Linked DNA regions of Coturnix japonica. The protein of the gene in region 1 binds, or shares a complex with, the protein of each later gene. Links are inferred from orthologs where the notes say so. Each region holds a gene or a part of one and is shown in the gene's direction. Other genes may lie near its edges. The genes, in order: CNOT9, CNOT6 and CNOT6L.

Region 1 (4,207 bases):
GTTTCGAGGTTATGGTCCTGCAGGAGGGTAGTTTTAAAGAGCTCCTTCTCTCCATTAATTCTGCTGCACCACTGTATTACGACATGAACCAACTGCTGCTTCCTGCCAGGTCACTCACAAGGAGGTGGAGGTGGAAAAGGAACCATACGTGTGTCAATACAAAAAGTCATTTTCAACTCCTGCGTCCTTTTGCACTTAGTTATTCATCTCTGTCACTTCTGTGGCCTTTCCTATGAACTACACGCTGCTACACAATGACATCCTTGCAAGTTGAAACCACAGCCAAACCTCGCACTGCAGAGCAAGAGGCTGCCCATCAGATTGGAGCCTCCTCCTAAAGTGGCCCAACCTGAGTATTGCCACACAGCTGATCCAAATAGTGATGGCCAATCCAAGTGAAAACCCTTCTCCAAGCTCCCACAGAGCGCCAGAGCCAGAAGAGAGGCAGACACAAAGCCTATCCCTGCAGGCATAGACAGCTGCTGGGCAGGCTCCCACAGAACCACAGCTCCAGGCGTTAAACTACCAACAGCAAAACTCAACCTGGTAGAACAGAGCATGAACGAGAACCTTGGGAAGGCACATAAGGAATAAAGGAGCACAGCACCATGGTCAAACAGTGGGATTCCACCTCCAGGCTGCACACAAAGAGAGAACATCCCAAAACAAGACTTGAGCCACGGCTCCACACCTGCAGCTCGGCCCTTCTGATCCAGCAGATGCCATAACACCAGAACTGAGTAACTCAATGCTACACCGAGGGATGGCCCTACTGAAGGAGGCAGTATGAGCAGTGACAGCCGGTAACCGGGCACGGCAGCACCCACCTGGAAGGTCTTTGGGATGCCCCTCATGCCGTAGTGCACCACCAGGTTGACTTTGTTATCCTTCTCCACCACCTCGAAGCAGCCCTCCTTCCACCTGGTCACTCCGGTCTGCATGCAGTACAGCCTCACGGGGCCGTGTACTTTCAGCAGGGCCATGGCGGGGCCTCACCGACACAACCTGCGGGGATCACAACACGTGTGGAGCGGGACCGCCACGGACCGGCACTCACCGACACGCCGAGCCGCGGCCTTCCCGGGAGTAAAGCGGGGAGAAGCTGAGTGGGGTCGGTGAAGGGGGAGGCGGCCCCTGTGGACGCGGCCCCGTCACGGTGTGTCGGTGCGAGGCCCCGCCGTGAGGGGCCGCGTTGGCTCCCGGTACCTGCGGGGCGCGGCGCCGGATGGCGGGAACCGGCTCCCCGCGCGACGCACGGCACGCAGGCGCGCGCGCGCGCCGCTGACGTCAGCACGGCGGCGCCATTCCCGGCACGCCCCGCAACTGCGCATGCTCAGAAGCGGTGCTTTGCCTTTCCCCCCTCCCACCGGCGCGCATGCGCAGTTAGAGAGCGGCCTGCTGCCCGCTGCGGGTTGTGCGCATGCGCAGCTCGCCCTCCTGCAGGCCGCGTCCCCTTCCCGGTGTGTCTCTATGGCGGCGGGGGCCTGAGCGGCGGCACCATGCACAGCCTGGGCACGGCAGCGGTGAGACGGCACCGGGACGGGGATCGGCCTCTAGGGGGGGTAACGGGGCTCTAAGGGCTACTTCGGCGGCCCAGCTCCTCGTTCGGGTCTCAGGAGACGGCGGGAGGGCGAGGGGGGGGGAGGCCGCCTCAGAAGTTGTGTGTAGGCCTTGGGCTTCCACACAGCTTTAGGGTGAGCAACAAGGAAAGAGGAAATGAGGAGGAAATGCGGCTTTTGGTTTTAGCTAGAATGGTGACTGAGCATAGTAGAGCCTTTGGGCTGGGGAGATAGCAGGACACGGGGAAATGGTTTTAAGTTGAAAGAGGGAAGATTTAGGTTGGATGTTAGGGGGAAGTTCTTCACTAGGAGAGTGGTTAGGGCCTGGAACAGGCTGCCCAGGGAGGTTGTGGATGCCCCGTCCTTGGAGGTGTTCAAGGCCAGGTTGGACGGGGCCATGGGCAACCTGATCTATGGGGTCTCTATGGGGGTCTATGGGGGTCTATGGGGTCTCTATGGGGGTCTATGGGGTCTCCTGGGCAACCTGATCTAGTAAATGTGTATGTTTGGTGGCCCTGCCAGGCAGGGGGGTTGGAACTACATGATCCTTGAGGTCCCTTCCAACCCGGGTCATTCTGTGATTCTGTGAGATAAGACTGATACTGGACATTGTAAGCTTAATAGCTTGGAAAATCTGCTTAGTGCTCCCTAGGGATCGTAGACACACCGTTGTGCTTTTAAAGGGTCGATATATTTAAGCTTGCAGGAATTGAAACTTACAGAGAGTCTGGCAAAATAGATGGAAGCTTTAGATAACATGGCTATAACAACGTTAGTGCTGCACTGCCATCCCAAATGGAAACAAATGAGCTCAGTCTGTTCGCCCTCTCTCTCCCAGCTGTGGTATCGGTGTTACCATTGGGATTGTGTTCCTTGTACAGCAGATTGTTAGGGTTATTATTTCTGTGTGAGGTTCTAGGGGGGGGAAATGAAGTAAAATAGAGTAGATGAGGTAAAAAAAGGGGATAGGAGGAAAGGTGAGCAGGTAGAAGGTATTAGAGGCCTGAGATGTCGGGATTGGTAACAGCATATCAGCTTATATTGTAGCCTAAATGGCAACTTCAATCCTCTATATATCCCACAGGATCATAAGCATAATGTGCGGGTAGCTGAGCAGGGAAACTGCTGTAGGAATAGGAGAGAGAAGGAAGGCTCTGGGGGGGTGTCCCAAAGACATGGTCTCCCTCCAGCAGCAATGGGAACTTCATTTGGGTTCCTGTTGCTGTCAGTTCCTGAGCTCTGTTGTGTTCACTAAGGAGCATTGCTGGCACTGTGGTACATGAAGCATTTGCTTTAATGCATGTTTGCCTCCAAATAGTTGGTCTGTATCACCACGCTGTCTGTGTAGGCCAGAAAGTGAAACATCTGTCTTTCAGCTAGGCGAAGGACTAAGCTTAATCTAAAGGATCATCTATATCCACAGTTTCTTAATGCAGCTTGAGTCCCTCCCTCCCCCAGCCACTTCCTCAAGACCTTTTTATTTCTTTACCTTTGAGGCTGTGAGAAGCGTTTGGGTGGGACTTTGCTGTAACAGCTGTGACTGAAGTTTTCCTGTCTCCCTCCCAGCCTGTGCCTACAGCACTGGCTCAGGTGGACCGTGAGAAGATCTACCAGTGGATCAACGAGCTGTCCAGCCCTGAGACGAGGGAGAATGCACTGCTGGAGCTGAGCAAGAAGCGCGAGTCTGTGCCTGACCTTGCCCCCATGCTGTGGCACTCATTTGGCACCATTGCAGCACTCCTTCAGGTGGGTAGGGCAGAGCTCAGCTTTGTTTCGTGGCACAGTGCTGCCACACTGCACAGCTCTGTGTGGCCACGGGGTGGATCTGGGGAGGCGCTGATAGTCCCTTCGTGCAATTACTGTGAGTATGATGGCTGCTGGATCACATGGTGAGAGGAACCACACAAGGAGGGCACTTCTAATGTTTTCCATTAGTCATTTCTTGCAAGGTAATGTCCTTAGAGACCAGGCCATAAGATTGTTGATGAGATGGCTTAGACAGGTGAAAGGGGAGTAGCCGAGTTCTTCTGTGTATGAACTTCTTGTAGATAATATTCCTTTTCTATTTGTAGTGGCATAGCAGAACCACAATAGTTTTACTCCTAACATCTCTGCTTTGTGCTGTGGAGTTTTTTTTCTTTATTTTCCTATGAGTCTGAGTACTACTTGATCAAAAGGTTGCCATTACAGAGCCCTCATGGGGGCAGTATGGAAGTACTTGTAGCTCACTGCTCCAGAGTACCTTGCAAAGAAAACTAAGTGCATTTCTGGTCAAAGCGAGTGGCTCAGCTGAGCTCTGGGTAAACTACAGCTGATGTCTGCCCACCTCTGCTGGATCTTGTCATTTCATTTGAAGAAGAAAGGAAAATGGTGCAGGATAGGCAATGGCAGACTGTGAAAACAGGGTGGCCCTGAAACAAGTGAAGAAAATGCTAAGGGAGCCATAGCTGGAAACAGACAGTTTTCTGAATTGGATTTCTCACCTTCAGCTGCTTCCCCTTCATTGAGTTAGAGGAGTACCAGCAGCTATGGTATGAATGAAGTGCGTGTGCTCTGCCTCTAGGCACAGGAGCAGCATTCCTCTTTGCTCCAAGAATTCAAAACAAAGTCATCCCCACATCCGCAAAGAGCCAGGAAGTCAAATAAGC
Region 2 (3,602 bases), on another chromosome or scaffold:
TCATACTGGTTCTGTATACTTCATTCAGCGTTTCTGTAAATGTGTTTGCAGGAAATCCACTCACGCAGGACATTCTGAACCTTTATCAGGAACCAGACGGGACGCGAAGGCTACTGAACTATTTGCTTGATAATTTGGCAGGTACTGCAAAAAGAAGTAAGTGATCATTCTTAAAAGATTTATTCCTGCTGTGTAAGATAAATGTGATTATCACTTTTGTCTCTTTAAAATATTTCCATAGTTTCAACAGAACAGCCACCTCCAAGGTCTTGGATTATGTTACAAGAACCAGACCGTACCAGGCCAACAGGTACTGTAGTGCTTCAAGAAAGCTTTATTCATTTTATATCAAATGTTGATCTCTGTTATCTGCTACTAAAATCTTAATGATGCTTCAATTAACCAGTCATCTGCCCAGTGCTGATAGACAGTTGTAGTAGCCCTGTCCCATCTAGAACCTCTGCTTCAGACTCTAAGTTCCTTTTAATTAGCATACTCTTCACAGAAACAGAAATGACTGTCCAAAGTGAGTCAGTTAGTTGAATTGTAACAGGCTTAATTGAACATTTGTCGAAGAATAAAAAATTGAAGACCATGATCTTAATTCCTCAGAAAGGTAAAGATTTTTCTTTCAAGTTCCCTGTGTGTCATCTGACTCCACGCTTTCTTGTTGTTTGATCTCAGGCTCTGTTCAATTGTTTACTAATTTCTTCTGCATGAGTTGTTTAAAATAAAGCCTTTTCTGTTTATTACCATGCAACTTTTTCTGTTTAACTAAACCAAATATCCGTGCCGTTTGGTTACCTGCAATCTTGCCCCAGGCTGTCTCATTATATATCCCTCCTGTTCCAAATTAATGCTGAGAAGTAGGTTTCTCTTTCCTTTACTTGTAAACTGTAAGGTTTTTGAGATGGGGGAAAAAAATTGTGATTTTATTTTACCTATATTTGTATTTTGTGGGAAGGATTCCTTGCCCTAAGTGTGAATCTGTGAAATTATGTGGATCTGTTTCAGCTGGTGGTACAAATTAGGATAGCTAATGAACTTATCCTAAGGTATGTAAAGTTCTCAAATAGATTATTTAAAATCAGTTTGAAACTCCTTGTTCAAGGCTTTCCCCAGTTATGCACTACTTAATGTGAAGCATATTTTTCAACTGTATATTGCATTAACCATATAAAGAGTTCTTTTGATTTTTGGTTTCTGTGTACATGTTAGTAAATGGCTGCCAGAAATCCCAACCTGGAGGTAATTTGTCCTCCTGGAAGGACTGAAAGATGCTTTTATAGCATAGGTGCAGGTGCTGTGTTTTGGTTGAAGCAAATGAAACATGGATTCATAGGTCCAGAGAAGACAAAGGAGAAGAAGATAATTGTATGTTTTTTTGTTGTTACTATAATCAGTATGTAAGTGACGTTATTGTTCTGCAGCCTTGTTCTCTGTCATGTGTTACAACGTGCTGTGTGATAAATACGCTACCCGGCAGTTGTATGGCTACTGTCCATCTTGGGCGCTGAACTGGGAGTACAGAAAAAAAGCCATTATGCAGGAAATCCTGAGCTGCAATGCTGACATCATAAGTCTTCAGGTAAAAGATATACTGTTATTTCTTTTCCCCTTCCAATTCTCACGTGCTGGTTTCTCTGTATTAAATATATTTGCTGTAACTGGTATGTTTTTCAAAACCCTCTGAAAACAAACAAAGAAAAAAAAGAAGTGGTGTTCAGAGCAATATTTGCTGCTTGACATCAAAAGAATGCTTTTCAGCCCACACAGTTGGGATGTGAACCAGCAGCTGCTGATCAAAGAAATGTATGTGGGGGTGTCTGTGTGTGTGCATGTGAGGGTATAATTGACACATTTTCAAATATAAGGCTTAGGATAATCATAACTCTGGGGATTACAGAAGTTCATTTATATTTTCTTCTTAAAACACGAATATTGCTCTCAAATTTGTATTCTCCAGTGTACTTAATTCTTAGGAATTCTTATGTTTTTTTTTTTTTTGTTTCTTTTTCCTTAATTCTAATTTGAAACTGATTTACACTTCTGAAGAGTCTAAATAATATCAGTCTTGTGTGGTTTGGTAATAGTAATTCACTGTGTGCTGTGTTCTGACTTTATAGGAGGTTGAAACTGAGCAGTACTACAGTTTTTTCCTGGTAGAACTGAAAGAACGTGGCTATAATGGATTCTTCAGTCCAAAATCTAGAGCTAGGACAATGTCCGAACAGGAAAGAAAACATGTCGATGGTTGTGCAATATTTTTCAAAACAGAGAAGTAAGTGATTTGGTTTATTAAGCTTTCCATTGCCTCTTGTTCTTTTCTACACGATTTCTTGGGTCATTCAAAAGTCAAAATAGTTTGCCACCGCTCACCCTTTCTTGTAGCTGTTTGGTTTTAACAAGTCAAGAGTTCAGTAAATTATGCTTCAAATGCTGTCATTACACATTAAAGATGTTTGCGTTTTAATTTTTATTTAAAAAATATATTAAATATCTCAAAAATGAATTCTCAAAAAAGAAATCTCAAAGGCTGAATTCAGACTACAAGTGGCGGTCATGGCTTTCCTTCTGTCCTTCTCCTTCGATTCCTTTTGTGTACACAGCGATGCCACAAGCAATTATCTAGTTGCTATTAAACCAGCAAGTTTGGACTAGAATCTTATGCAGAATGAAAATGAAGCACTCTTTCAGTAGTTGCTCCTTCTTTTTAAAAAATAAATGTTTTCATTAAAATCAGCTTAATATCTTTAAACAAACAAAGAAACAACTAGGAAAACAGTATCCTTTTGATTTCAGCAAATGATTTTTATGAAATTATAGGATGGGCTGAGACTTTCTCACTGTAAATGTGTTTGAGCTTAATTAAGAGGTGAATTTGTCTGTAACATTTCCTTTGGTGGCTGTCTACTGAAGGAAGTGTATACAATGTTCCTCTTTCAGATTTACTTTGGTTCAGAAACATACTGTTGAGTTCAATCAACTGGCTATGGCAAACTCGGAAGGCTCAGAAGCTATGCTGAACAGAGTTATGACAAAAGATAACATTGGAGTTGCTGTGTTATTAGAACTGCGAAAAGAACTGATAGAAATGTCATGTAAGTGCTGTTTAATATTTGATTGTGCGGTATTTTATCAATTGAAACAAACCAACCCTATCATCGTTTAAACCATACATCTTTTCCTTAGACATACAGTGTTCAAACTTACATTCACCCGTTAAATCCAGTTTCCTTTTTACTGCAACTTTGTGCTGGAAAACAAACAATGAAAGCACTGCAGTTTGAGGGATTCTGCTTGGAGATGTGTAAAGGTATCAGAGAACGAGTTGATATTGGATTATTCCTAATGCTTAGAATTGACTAAAGCACTGAGCACTCAGTAGTTACAAGAGGAGTTGTGTAGCCCTCTTAAGCTAAATGTTAGTAATCCTTTTCAAACAGCTGGTATTTTTTTCCCACCCTCAAACATCTTGTTTAAAATCAAACACAGGTAAATATGATGGTATTTTCTGTTGCTGGCTATGCAAGGTAAATATTTAATTTTAAATTTTAGCTGGAAAGCCGCATCTTGGGATGGAAAAGCAGCTTGTTCTTGTT
Region 3 (4,105 bases), on another chromosome or scaffold:
AGTGAAGCCCCAGGAGATGCTGGTCCTGCCAGCAGTGACCCTGGGCAGCCACTTGCAGAACCTGGTTTCTCAGTTACGCTCCCTTTGGAGAAGGGAGGGAAACAATACCTGGGGTGAGGGTGGCGAGGCCCTGGCCTGTAATGGGAGCCGGGAGATGTACAGAATGATTAACAGAGGCAACGGGAGAAGAGAAGGTACAGTCCCTTCAGTGAGCCATTGGGTGGGTATTTTTCAGGAGAGGAAATGACCAGACCAGCCAAAGGCGCAGCTGTCATAGAAGTCACAGTGCCCATGCCTTTCTGAGGCAGCACACGACTTTTCTCCTATAAAAACGCATCCCAGTAAAGTTATTCTTGAAGGTTTTTTTCTTGCTTTCTCTCTCCCTCTGCCCTCCTCTGTACATGTGTGCACCCGCTCACAACCACTCCTTTACACTGGACACAGCTGGCTGAACTGTGCTCTACCATGGAGGCTCCTTCTGTGCTCCTCATTCACATACGACTATTTTGGTCCCACAGGTGAACCCACAAAGACCTGCACTTTTCTCTGCCCTAGTTTTATTATCATAATTTATCTTCCCCCTTTAAAATCCACTCTCCATCTTTCCCTCATTCGACACCCACACATTTTCTTGTAGAACTTAGGCATGGTCCCCACAGGAAGGCCGCCTCCACCTCTGGTGTGCCCAGCTGGAGAACACTGTGCTCCAAAGCTGGCACACACACCATTTACCTGCTCTACCTGCCCTTTGACACGGCTCTGCAGACACAGACAGCGCGGTGCCCAAAGGGTTTGGCAGCAGGGGGACACCTCCTGTGGAGACAGAGGTGATGCCAGACGAGCCCTACGCCCCCAGAGGCTCAGGCTGAGCGCGGGGCCCCGTCACCCCGACACCTGAGTCACTTCCTCAGTCTGTCCGCGACTGCCAGAGGCCTTTCGCGGGGCGACCTGCTCCTCACGTACGCCCTGTCAGACGGCGCTCTCCGTAATTAACGACAATTACCCACGGAGGGCTGTTTTCCCTCCCTACGATCGGGTCCCCACTGGCGTCCCCAGGAGCAGCCGCCGCCCCGCAGGGCCCAACGGGGGCTCCCCGCCACCTCCTCGGGGTCCCGGCGCCTCCCCGGGGTCCCCGCGCCGCCCGCCCCGCTCCCGCCGCCTCCTCCTCCCGTCCCCACCTCCCGCTCCCCCGCCCTCCGCGCCGCCCGAGCCCCGGCCCGCTCCTCCCCGCCTCCGCAGCCGCCGCCGCCGCCGCCCCGTTCCCCGTCCCCGGCGGGCCGCCGCCCGCATGTCGTTGCTGCCCGCCGCCCCGCCGCCGCCGCCCCGCCGCCAGCCGCCGCCGCGCCGGATGCAGGTGAGCTCCGCGGCCCGCCGGGGCCTGGCGGGGAGCGGGACCGCCATGTCGCGGCCTGCGCCGCCCGCCGGCACCGGGGCCAGTGTCCGGCCGGGCGGCTGAGGGACGGCGGGCCCGCCCGGGAGAGGAGGGAGAGCGCTCGGAGGGAATGCGGGGCGGCGGGGGGACCGCGCGTTATCCCCGGTTCGGGGCCCGGGCGCGGCCGTGCGGGATACCCGGGCCCAACGCCGAGCCGGGCCGGGCGCTCACCTGGGCGCCGGGCGGCGGGGAGCGTTGCTTCCCTCCAGGGGGGTTCACTCGCCGCGGCCCCGCGCTCGGCTGCTGGCGGAGGCGAGGACGGGCACGAACGTCCGAGTTTGCACCGGCAATTCGGGGCTTGCTTCGGAAACTTCTCTGTGGAACATGGCGGAGCACGTCCCGCGGTGTGGCGGCCCCGCCGTGTTCTGTCTGATCGCCCAAAAACCTCGGCCACGTTCCGTCTGACCTCCCGGGACCTCGGGACGAGCAGCTTCGTCTGCCCGCTGCTGAAACTTGGAGACTGAGTGTCCACTTTTAGGAGCTGCAAGTTGTGTTGATTGGTCTCTGCTGGCACAGGAGGCCCGTGGCCACATGCGGTCTGTGGGGTGGGCAGTTTGCCCCCGCTGTGCCCAGCACAGCTCTGAGAGGCAGCTGCCCCCCACCCTGAGGCAGCATGGAGGGGAGCAGCTCGCCTTGAGTTGCTCCTGGCTTGTGTAGACATGGCCAATAATGAAAGTAATGATAACGCAGCTGTTTTTAGCATTTGCAGATGTTTTTACCCCTGTGCAAGTTTTTTAACAAAGAAATACAAAGCGTGTTGTGTCCAGTAAGAGTGTCGTCACTGTGACGAAAGCCCAGGAATTCCTAGAAGCAGCACCCATGTTTGGAGGGCTTTGGTAGGGCTGGAGTGTGGCCTTTGCAAACACAGCACCACTAATGTTTTCTCCCTGTATCTCTCCCAAAATGTGATGTGATGGTGAACCTTGTACTGAGAGTACTGTCCGTCCACACGGCAGCTCGCTGGGCATGGCCATGCACTGGCGGCACTCCAGACTGACAGAGGTAGCGTAGCCCCTTCTGTTCCCACTGTGCCCCGCTGCAGGCCGGTGTGTGCCTTATCAGAGCTCTCCAAACTGAGAGCTGTGGTACTGCAAATGCCTCAAGCTCTCTGCGTCCTGCCGAGGGTAATGGGATGTTGCTACTTGGTTGTGTCATTTTGCTCCAGAGTAAATGAGTGGCGTGTGCTGGTGATGTCATACTGCTCCATACCTTGCCATATCTGTGCATCACCGTATGTGTGGCCCACAGTACTGTGTTGATTCATCCGAACTGAACTTATGTTCCAATATCTACCCAGGTGTGAAATCTTTTTGCCTGCTGTCTTCAGAACTGGTTGTGGGTTGATGGAAGTCTCGTGACCGCCAGGTCATGCTTAGAGGTGGGAATTCTGCAGCGCTGTGCCGCTCGCTAAGCAAACCCCATTTGACACTATCAGTTATGTTCTTTTCTCACTATGAAAAGTGAGGAGTTGTAGCATGAAGAGTGCTGAAGTACAACAGAACAAACATTATTCAGTTTTGCCTTTTCTTCCTGCAAGGGCTGTGAATTTCACTGAAGTATAAAGTATGATGTAAGTGGATGATAGGTACTGCCACATCCTTGGGCTGCTGTTAGGTTTCCTTTCCCCTCAGAAACTGAGATGCTGATGTGCCTGTAACAAAGGAGTAGGAGGACTCGTTGTCAGACTGCTGGAAAAAGTTTGTTTGGCAGCACTATGAAAAACACCAAACTTTGCAGATTCATTTTGGTCCGCTGAGCTTCACACCAGGCCTATATGGCAAACTTCTGCTGGCACAGCTCTGTGTGCGAACGCTGTGGCGAGGTGTGACCCTTGAGTGACATAGCTGTGCCAGCAGAAGTCCCTGCTGTAGATGCAGTTATCTGCAGAAGTGCGTTTTTACTGATAGGGCTTGTTTTCGTTTTGAAGAGTGTTTTTCCCTGTAGCGGCGGTGGTGTGGTTGCCAGCAAAGCTCAGCACCTTGAGGGTGGGAGGACTTGGTGTGTCTGTCTCTGTGGGGACGCCACCAGCCTCTGCTCCTCTCCCTGCCCCGGGTATCAGGAGCTCGGGAACATCTGCAGTGGCCATTCTGTTGCTGAAGTAAGTGGTGTTATGACTGCTATTTGTTTATTTTTCCTTGCAAGGATCTTTGTAAAGCTTCGTTTCGGGCGATAAGCTGGTGTTGTTTTTTTTTTTTTTTATTGTTTGGATTCTGGCTGTTTTTCCTTACTGATCTTGCTTTTATAAAAAGCAGGGCAGGCTTTGCCCTGAGCTTGCCAAGCACAGCAATATTCAGCTCTCACACCAGTCCTACAGAAATCAGCCAGGACACGATCCCAACGCGTCTGTGGACTGTGGAGGTAAAATAAAAGGGAGCCATTGGAGAAGAGTTAATGAATTTGCACACCAGGGTGTGTCTTTACCTAATTTAAACCTGAAGGATTGCAAAGAACATCTTACATTGAGGTGGGTCTCTGCAGCTGCTGTCTTCCTTGTTCAGAGTCACTGTGCAAAATGGGGAGGTGCTTTTTCTTTTTTCTGAGAACATTTTACTTTCAGTGATAGTGTCGGTAACATGCACAGCTCTAGAGCAGATTTCCTGTAACAGCACAGAACTGGTGCTTAGATCAGCCTTGTGGAGACTTTTAGGTTGCTGAAGTTTAGAGGGCGGGGGA

Evidence for each region.
Region 2: CNOT9 (region 1) and CNOT6 share a complex: the UniProt entries of both Homo sapiens proteins name them as parts of the CCR4-NOT complex. The link is inferred for Coturnix japonica from reciprocal best matches to the Homo sapiens genes CNOT9 and CNOT6.
Region 3: CNOT9 (region 1) and CNOT6L share a complex: the UniProt entries of both Homo sapiens proteins name them as parts of the CCR4-NOT complex. The link is inferred for Coturnix japonica from reciprocal best matches to the Homo sapiens genes CNOT9 and CNOT6L.

Annotation. Positions count from the first base shown.
Region 1 is NC_029522.1:24,240,930-24,245,136, forward strand, and holds the start of CNOT9 (CCR4-NOT transcription complex subunit 9), read left to right. Parts: upstream 1-1,390; 5' UTR 1,391-1,499; coding exon 1,500-1,523; intron 1,524-3,125; coding exon 3,126-3,305; intron 3,306-4,207. Other genes in the region: USP37 (ubiquitin carboxyl-terminal hydrolase 37), read right to left, coding at 828-983. UniProt on the Homo sapiens protein: Component of the CCR4-NOT complex which is one of the major cellular mRNA deadenylases and is linked to various cellular processes including bulk mRNA degradation, miRNA-mediated repression, translational repression during translational initiation and general transcription regulation.
Region 2 is NC_029528.1:4,242,839-4,246,440, forward strand, and holds part of CNOT6 (CCR4-NOT transcription complex subunit 6), read left to right. Parts: intron 1-51; coding exon 52-156; intron 157-241; coding exon 242-310; intron 311-1,430; coding exon 1,431-1,588; intron 1,589-2,126; coding exon 2,127-2,281; intron 2,282-2,946; coding exon 2,947-3,101; intron 3,102-3,558; coding exon 3,559-3,602. UniProt on the Homo sapiens protein: Poly(A) nuclease with 3'-5' RNase activity.
Region 3 is NC_029519.1:30,849,207-30,853,311, forward strand, and holds the start of CNOT6L (CCR4-NOT transcription complex subunit 6-like), read left to right. Parts: upstream 1-1,285; 5' UTR 1,286-1,354; intron 1,355-1,603; coding exon of another isoform or gene 1,604-2,093; exon of another isoform or gene 2,094-2,108; intron 2,109-3,382; exon of another isoform or gene 3,383-3,530; intron 3,531-3,951; exon of another isoform or gene 3,952-4,105. Other genes in the region: MRPL1 (39S ribosomal protein L1, mitochondrial), read right to left, coding at 1,604-2,093. UniProt on the Homo sapiens protein: Has 3'-5' poly(A) exoribonuclease activity for synthetic poly(A) RNA substrate.